Linked DNA regions of Caenorhabditis elegans. The protein of the gene in region 2 purifies or fractionates together with the protein of the main gene of each other region. This does not show direct contact. Each region holds a gene or a part of one and is shown on either strand. Other genes may lie near its edges.

Region 1 (3,740 bases), on a different chromosome or scaffold from region 2:
CAATGCCAGCCAGCTCCAAACAACTTGTTCTGCGGAAGATGGCAACGTATGCCATGTGCCCCAGGAACCGTCTTCGACGTCCAATCCCAAGTCTGCGTCTGGGACACCAACAGCCAGCCAGGAACTCTTCCAACTCCAGCCCCATACGTCTCCACCCAGGCTCCACAGAACGCTCAATGCGGATGCACCGGAGGAGTTCAAATCGGATCATGCAACCAAAACTACCAGTGCCCAGGACAATCGGTCTGCCAAGTCGGACAAAATGCCGGACAACAGGTAAGAGAGTAGTGTCTAGAAGCAAGAGATCGGCAACCAATTCAACCGGTTTCCGTTCTTGTGTGTGGCAATTGAGACGATTACAATAGGGACGGGGGTGTGTAAGAATGGGGAGGGAGGCTCGAATAGATCATAAGCAAACGAACACTCTTTCAGTGCATGGTTTGCTGCTACTTCCGCAAGAAGGCCCGTCGTTTCTAATCGATCGAACATCTCACACACATCATCATCGAACCAAAAACTGCTACAATCTTCTCGCCTTTTTGTATATACCGTGAAGAAAACAACAATCATGAAACGGATACGCATAGACAACCATAATTGTACCGCCTAGTTTGCCCTCACTTTTCCCCCGTCTTCCCCCAAATCCCCAATCCTTATTTGTATTCCGAATTGTCCAATGTCTAGGGTTTTCTCTCCAATGATAACTATTATATAACTTATGATGGTACTTCAATAAATATATATTTTCAATACTTTTCTGGTTTTTGTCTGATACCCCGGATTTGCAGTGATTTTAATGGTTTGTTCAAATATTTTAAACTCAAATACTTTGCTTATTGGAAAAATGTTTTCAACTAACAAAGTATTGACGAAAACTTTTTCTACACTTTGGATTTTTCAAAATTATACAACTCTGTTCCAGAAAAAAAGCTACAGCAGCTGACATCAGGCGGGTCGGTTTTTTTATTAGAATTTCCAAGTATCTAAACGCTTGGTGTTTTCATAAAACAAAGTTTAATAAGAAAATAATTTTCGCAGTTTTCTACTTTTTGCAATTTGTTTGTATTTCATATGAATCTCAAATTTCGAAATACATTTAATAAACATTTAAATTGTTATTGGTTTTTTAGTGGAGTACTTAAGCAATTATAGGAAGTGCAAATTGCAAAATGTAAAAAACTTTGTGGAGATAATTTTCTTAGTGTACCTTGTTTCATGAAAACACCTAATTTCAAAGGTACTTATTTTTAAATGACAACAAGCTTATTTTGGTAAAATAATTGAAAAAAAAACAATTTAGTAGTTCACGATCTGTTGGATGATGGCTTGAATTTTCTCGTCTGAAAATAACCGAATGTTTAATCTTATTTCAAATTTTAAAAACTCACGTTGAAAGAATTCAACGACGATGGGGAACTCATCGGTGATGGTGGCCTTGGCGTTTTCAGAAAGTGTTTTATATTCAGCAATGTATCCCTTGAAGAGTTTCTTTACCATCTCAGGAGTTGGCTGGTATCCGGCATGGAACTGTTGCCGGAAAGAAAGTCCCTGAGCGATGACTTTCCCGAATAAAGCCAGAGCGGCGGGGTCGAGTTTCGCGAGTTTTGTGCGGAGTAGGACGTCGAGTTTTTCAACCTTAGCGTACAGGGATGGGGACCGCTCCTTGATATCAGCACTCAATTCTTCAACAGATTTGTTTCCTCCCATAACACTTTTGATAAATTCCTTAATAGCAGCTTTCTCCTCAGTAGTGATGGATTTAAGGTATTCAGTAACTTTAGCTGGGATGAGTTCCTTGAACTCAGCTGGGATGTCGTCTAAGCTTTGTGGTAAGCGTGAAATTGGAGCAGAAAAGACAGCGACGGAGGCAAGTGCTATGACAAGGAAGATGCGGATCATTGCTATAACATTTTAAATTATATAGGTTGCCACTTTTAATTGAAATAGTCTGGATATCATAAAATCACGGAAAGCGAATAGAATATTGGCCGGCACTGTAGATGTGAAAATGCTTTCAGGCCATTTTTTTCACAAAGTCAACAGTTCAAAAAAAGACCCATAAAAGTTTTTTTTCATGTCTACTGTATGTTGTTTTATAATTTATATTTCTAAAAGAAAAATAGATGAGAAAAATGAGAAAAAAACGGCAGAACTTAAAGAAAAGAAAGCTCGGCGCCGCTTCTGCTGTGCAGCTCCTGCTCCGCCGGCCATGTTTTTATACGACCTTGGATGACCCATCGTTAACGAAATAGTGTACCGAACCGAGAGTTCCAATGAAATGTCACGTTCCCTTCGAGACACATGACTCACTTTCCCTGGATTTCTATTATTAAGAAAACTACTTTTAGTGTAATGAAGTTTAGGGTTTTCTTTTTGAACCTAAATCTGTGTGGTGCCAAAATGCAACAATATCATTGTAAAGCTTTTTAAAATTTGGTTGGAAAAAATTTTAATTGATAGTCAAAAAGTGGCAATTACTAAGTTTTTGCCACTTTTTGAGAAAACTATAGCGCATGTTTGAATCCCTACAATGAGCCCACAGAAACCGAGCTGTGACCTGTAAAACAGAATTACGGAGATTACCATGACTGACCTTAATAGTTGCATTTACAACAGTGCATCGGGTTTAAGCTGATCCAGTTTCTCATTTAGTACAAATACCTGAAAATATAGTCTCTGTGAAATATCTCCAATGACTTAAAATGTACCTAAATTAACAAAAAAAAACAAAAGAGAACCTCTTTTTCTTGAACTTCTTGAAAAAATGAGTTCGCAGTCATTTTCAGAATACTGGAACAAAACATTTTGATCGGTTTCGGAAATATGATTAGGCGAGTCTTGGCTAAAGAAATTCCGTCAATTCAAAATTGATTTATTTCTGAATCGTCCCGTCCCTACCAACTCTTTATCTGACTTTTTTCTAACTATTAGGCATTGTTTTAATGCATATCAATCAAATTTTTTATCTATCATTTTTTTTGGAATTCCGTTTGACATTATCAGTGTCAAATATTGCATGTTTTACGTGTCAAGTGGAAGGACTGATAATCGGTTTATTGGAACTTTGCTTTCAGTTCAATAAAGTGAAACTTTGAACTAAGGGCAAGAATTTGTAGTGTCAAAAAATCAGGAAAAAATATCTTGAATACGTGCGTGCCTACCACCATTTTTTGCAATTTCGAGTGAATTCAGATGCATTTTTTTTAGCAAAACCGAAAAATCGAAAAGTCGAAAAATTGGAGAACCGAAAAACGAAAATTTTCGATATTTCGATAGTTTCGAAAAACCGACAAACCGGCAGCCCTGGTGTAAATCAGGGGGTGATCGGCAATTGCCGTTCGGCAAATTCGGCAAATCGGTAAATTTGCAGTTTGCCGATTTGCCGGAAATTTTCAATTCTGGCAATTTCCCGGTTTGCCAATTTGCCGGAAATTTTCATTTACGGTAAATTGCCGATTCGCCGTTTGCCGGATATCAGATTTGCCGGAAATGTTTAGAGGGATTTTTTATAAGACGGAAACACTTAAAACTGTGTCTTTACGAATTTTTTCAGTATTTCTACATATTTTCAAAGAATTTGCTTACTTTTCAAAATAGATGTAGGAACATTCATAGGATGCGTGCAATTTTGCCATTTGAAATTGAAATTCTGAAATTTCCAAAAAAAAAAGTGCGAAACCACAATTTGACGAAAGTTTTCGGCAAATTGCTTTCTTTCGGCAAACTCGGCAAATCGGCAA
Region 2 (5,313 bases):
CACTTTAACACGTCCATCACGTGCAATCGCATCTTCTAACAGTTGTACGACGTCTTCGCCCACGCATCCTGTCGCTGTTACTCCTTTTGTCCATCTGTGAAAATGCCCTCTTTTTTTTTGTTGAATTTTTGGGTCCCACCACGCGATTTGTGGGTTACTGTACCTGAGCAGCGTGGCCGATCGGAGCCCGGTTTGATCGCAGGGATACGAGAAAGTGAATCCAACAGGCAAATGCTCATCGGCGAGCTCACGTTCGACAAGAAAATCGCACAGAGCTTTGGCAATGTAGTCGAAAAGCTGAAAACATTTTTTTGGAATTTTCTGGAAAATCAGGAAATTTAGGCTAATTTTAGCGATTTTTTTAAAATTTTTAGGTGAAAATTCAGTGAAAAGCGGGAAAAAATTAGTTTTTCATGCGAAAAATTAAAAAATTAAAAGGTTTTCCGGCTTAAAATGCAAACTTTTCCCCAGTTTTCAGGCTGAAAATCTCGAATTTTTAGATTTTTGAGGTCGAAAACAAGACATTTTCAGGTTTTTCTGTATGAAAACCACCAAATTTTCCGGGTTTTCCGGCTGAAATTTATGAAATTTCAGGGTTTTCTTATTGAAAATCGCGAAATTTTCAGCTTTTTACGCGTAAAAAGTCCAATTTCTCAGACTTTTTAGGCTAAAAAACTAAAATTTTCCGGTGGGGGGCTTCAGGCTGAAAATTAGGAAATTTCCAGGTTTTCCGGCTAAAACTTATAAAATCTCAGGGTTTTAGGCTGAAAATCACCATATTTTAAGGTTTTCAGGCTGAAAATTACGGAATTTTCAGGTTTTTACGCTTAAAAAGTCCAATTTCTCGGACTTTTCAGGCTGGAAAACATGAAATTTCTCAGATTTTTTAGGTTAAAAAACTAGAATTTTCCGGTTTTTAGACTGAAAATCACGAAATTTTGAGATTTTTTAAGTTAAAAAACCAAAAATTTCCAGTTTTTTTGGCTGAAAACTTCGAATTTTTAGATTTTTGAGGTCGAAAACAAGGAATTTTCAGGTTTTCAGGCTGAAAATCACGAAATTTTCCAATTTTCAAGCTAAAACACGCAATTTTTCCGGTTTTTCCGGCTGAAAATCGCGGAATTTTCAGGTTTTTTTATGAGAAAAAACCAAAATTTCTCAGATTTTGAGGCTGAAAATCACAATTTCTCAGTTTTTTGGGTTTGAAAACCGGAATTTTTCGGTTTTTTCAAGCTAAAATACGCAATTTTTCAGTTTTATCCCTCTGAAATTTATGAAATTTCAGGGGTTTCAGGCTGAAAATGTCAATTTCTCGGATTTTTTAGGGTAAAAAACCAAAATTTTCCAGGTTTTCATGCTGAAAATCCCCAATTTTCAAGTTTTTCATAGCTTTTTTTCTGCTTTTTTCACGAAAATTCCCAATTTTCATGGTTTTCTTCAAATTTCAGTGGCAATTTCTTCAACTTTTATCGCTTTTTTTCCAGTTTTTCAGCGCGTTTTCAGGCTAAAAATCCCGATTTCCTCGTACTTTTTGTCCGGTTCCATGCATTGCGGCATTTGGCATTCTTGTATTAAATTGTTTAGTTCTCATCGGCTCACCGGGCTCCAGTTCCATCAACATTACACGTAGATTTGTGCCTCCGAGGTCCATTGCAACGAATTTTCCACGTTCTGCAAAAGAAAATCATTGATTTTTACTGAAAATTCGGCGGAAAGTGGCTGATTTTGGTGTAGGTGGCTTAGAAAATGGTGAACTGGGATTTCTAGGCCACCTAAAGTTAGGCCATAGTATGACAGTTGTTGTTTTGCCGCAAGAATGGAGTTCTTGGTAAAAATCTGGTGGAAAATGAGTAGGTGGCCTAGAAAAAGCTAGTTTTGGATTTCTAGGCTACCTAAAGTTAGGCCATGGTGTGAATTCATTGAAATTTACGATTTTTTCAGTAGAACATGAAATTTTCGTGAAAATTTGGCGCAAAATTGCTGCTTTTGGTGATGGTGGCCTAGAAAATGGAGGCCTGGGATTTCTAGGCCACCAAAAATTAGGCCATAGGCTGAAAATATGAAAATCAACGTTTTTTCAGCAGAACATGGAATTTTCTTGAAAATTCGGGGGAAATGAATGAGTTTTGTGTAGGTGGCCTAGAAAATGATGGGTTTGGATTTCTAGGCCACCAAAAGCTAGGCCATGGATTGAAAAATCGAATTTTTAGCCAATTTTTCGGATTTTTTGAATTTTCAGTCAAATTTTCTACGTTTTCAAGAGAAAAATCAGTGATTTTTATGAAAATTCTTGCTTTGGTGGCCTAGAAAATGGTATATTTGGATTTCTAGGCCACCAACTGGAAAGTTAGGCCACGACCGTAAAAACCCATTCTTAGGCCATTTTTTCTCGATTTTTCGATTAAAAACCTTTTCCATTCGGCAATTCTGGCACAAAAGATGGTAACATTGCAATTGTGGACCGTTCCAAGCCGGATTCCAGTCCTCGATCCATATTATCTGATAAATGGGACATCATTCGTCGGAGAGTCGTATTTGACAGCTTAAACTCGGCCATCACGGATTCCAGCTGCAAAAATATCGATTTTTAGGTGGTAAATTGGTTGGTGGCCGTGAAATTTGGGTTTCTAGGCCACCGAATGGAAAAGTTAGGCCACGGACTGATTTTTGATCAAATTTTGATATTTTTAACGGGTTTTAGAGTTAAAAAGCAGCAAATACTCAAATTGTATTTTACGGTGGCCTAGAAAACCCAAAACCGGATTTCTAGGCCACCAATTCGGAAAGTTAGGCCATCGATTCGAATTTCGGTGATTTTCGAAGATTTTCACTTTTTTGGACATTGAAAATGAAGTTAATATCAGATTTTTCTGAAAAGGTGGCCTAGCCGGATTTCGAGACCACCAATTCGAAAAGTTAGGCCATGGACTGATTTTTAGTGAAATTTTGCATTTTTCGACTATTTTTTACGACAATTTCAGCGAAATATGCCAATTTATTGTGTATTATAAGGATTTTCATGCTTAAAAAGCCATTTTCAACAGTTTTTCTCCCGAAATTTTCCGCCAAATCTCCCACCGAAATCGATTCTTCATTCAGTTTCGACGCCATTTTTGCCAGCGGAGTCGTCGGCGTCCGCGGGCTCTTTTTTCCCTTTCCATGGGCTTGTGAACGCCATATCCTGAAGAAAAATGCGGTTTTATCGATTTTATCGATTTTTCCCGGGCGGAAAAAATTGAAAAATGTGAAAAATACCGATATTGAATGCCGAGCTCGATGATACCCAGCATTTTGTGTAGATTTTTGGGCTGAAAATGTTAATTTTGACATTAAAAAATAGTGGGAAAACAGATTTTTTATTTGTTTTTAAGAAAAATAAAATAATAAAAACCACGGGTTTCAGGGGCACACACAAATTGTCAATATTTTTGAGTGAAGATTTGACGAGAAGACGAGGAAAAACATGACGAAGAGACGCAGGCGAAACCCTTCGAAATTGATGATAGAAATGCTTTTTTTTTTGCAAAATAAAATAAAATACGGAAAATGTCAAGTGTGTGCGGCGGTTTGCAAATATCGCGCGCCCGCATTGCAATTGAGCCACTCCGCCCCTTTTCTCTATTTCTCAATGTTTTTTTTTGCAATTTTCCTCTATTTTTTCGGTTTTTTCGCAATTTTTTCGCAATTTTTAATGTTTTTTTCCACAAAAATTAACAATTTTCAGAGCAAATGAGTGCTCAAAACTATCACGCCGGCCTCCACCAGTCGAGTACACAGAGGTTCGTTGGATTTTAAGCGAGAAAACCCCCGGTTTTTCGTTGATTTTCACTAGAAATTCGTGATTTTAACGTGAAAAACACCCCAGATAACTAAAAAATCCACGATTTTGATTTGCAAAACAAAAAAATCAAAAAAAAATTCGCAGAAAATTGATTTTTCGGCAGTTTTTGAGTGAATTTTCACACCGAAATTTATTAAATTAGCGATTTTAACAGCATTTTCCACTGAAATATCACCAAAAATCCAAATTTAAACCTAAATTTTCACTAAAAACCGAGTTTTCCACCTTTCTGAGCAGATATTTATCGATTTTAAGCAATTTTAGAGAGTTTTCCGCTGAAATTTTCGAAATTTTCCCCGAAAAATCGATATTTTCATATGAAAAACTATTAAAAAACTATAGTGAAAATCGCTGTTTTTTCCAACTTTCAGTTTTTTAGGCTGTTTTTTTCACTAAAAAGTCGATTTTCACCCGAAAAAACCGGGGTTTTCAACTATTTTTACTCATTTTAAAGCAATTTTAGGGTGATTTTCACTGAAATTTCTCATTTTTCCCAATAAAAATCGATATTCTCGTTGAAAAACTACGGAAAATCCCTGTTTTTCCAACTTTTTCAGTAGGTTTAGGGTGTTTTTTCACTAAAAAATCCAAATTTTTTCGATTTTCCCCTAAGAAACCCGGTTTTTCACCTATTTTTGGGTAATTTTCACTGAAATTTCCAATTTTTCCCCTCGAAAAATCGATATTTTTACGTAAAAGACACCTTTTGAACACTAATTTCCACTGGAAATCCCTGTTTTTTTCACCAAAAACCCAAATTTAAACCTAAATTTTCACTAAAAACCGGGTTTTCCATCTTTCTGAGCAGATATTTATCGATTTTAAGCAATTTTAGAGGGTTTTTCGCTGAAAATTACCTCAAAATCACTCCGAAAAATCGATATTTTCATGTGAAAACTACTGAAAATCGCTGTTTTTTCCAACATGTTCATTTTTTTGTACTAAAAAGTTTTCGTCCGAAAAAAACCGATTTTTCACCTATTTTTACTCATTTTAAAGCAATTTTAGAGTGATTTTTCCCCGAAAAATCAATATTTTTACGTAAAAAACACCTTTTTAACACTAATTTCCACTGGATTTTTTTCGGCAAAAATAATGAAAATTCACTCAAAATTCGTGATTTTAACGTGAAAAACACCCCAAAAAACCGAAAAATCCACGATTTTGATGACAAATCCCCTAAAAAGTACTCATTTCCACCCAAAAAACCGCATTTTTTCATGTCCAGACCTCCGAAGCGGCCGAACACCGAGCATGCTCAGGAGCCGCCGAAAAGGTACGGAATTTAGGATGGAAAGTCGATATTTTCCACTGCAACTTTTTCCTCACGAGGGACGAGGAAAAGTGGTTTCTAGGCCATGGCCGAGGAGCCGACAAGTTTCAGCGGCCATTTATCTTGCTTTGTTTTCCGCCTGTTTTCTTTTGTTTTTCACAGCTTTTTCCCGTTTTTTCTTAATAAAACTGATAAATAA

The links. Proteins that work in one complex are often made in the same cells at the same time.
Region 1: the proteins of hxk-2 (region 2) and far-6 fractionate together in Caenorhabditis elegans (co-fractionation; one large-scale study listed by BioGRID). This does not show direct contact.

Annotation. Positions count from the first base shown.
Region 1 is NC_003282.8:13,326,520-13,330,259, reverse strand, and holds far-6 (Fatty-acid and retinol-binding protein 1), read right to left. Parts: upstream 1,902-3,740; 5' UTR 1,900-1,901; coding exon 1,389-1,899; intron 1,341-1,388; coding exon 1,297-1,340; 3' UTR 946-1,296; downstream 1-945. Other genes in the region: pqn-74 (Chitin-binding type-2 domain-containing protein), read left to right, coding at 1-276, 433-477.
Region 2 is NC_003279.8:11,319,803-11,325,115, forward strand, and holds the start of hxk-2 (Phosphotransferase), read right to left. Parts: upstream 3,309-5,313; 5' UTR 3,291-3,308; coding exon 3,256-3,290; intron 3,182-3,255; coding exon 3,079-3,181; intron 2,570-3,078; coding exon 2,410-2,569; intron 1,672-2,409; coding exon 1,529-1,671; intron 298-1,528; coding exon 164-297; intron 95-163; coding exon 1-94. Other genes in the region: cdk-9 (putative cyclin-dependent kinase 9), read left to right, coding at 3,730-3,779, 5,070-5,117.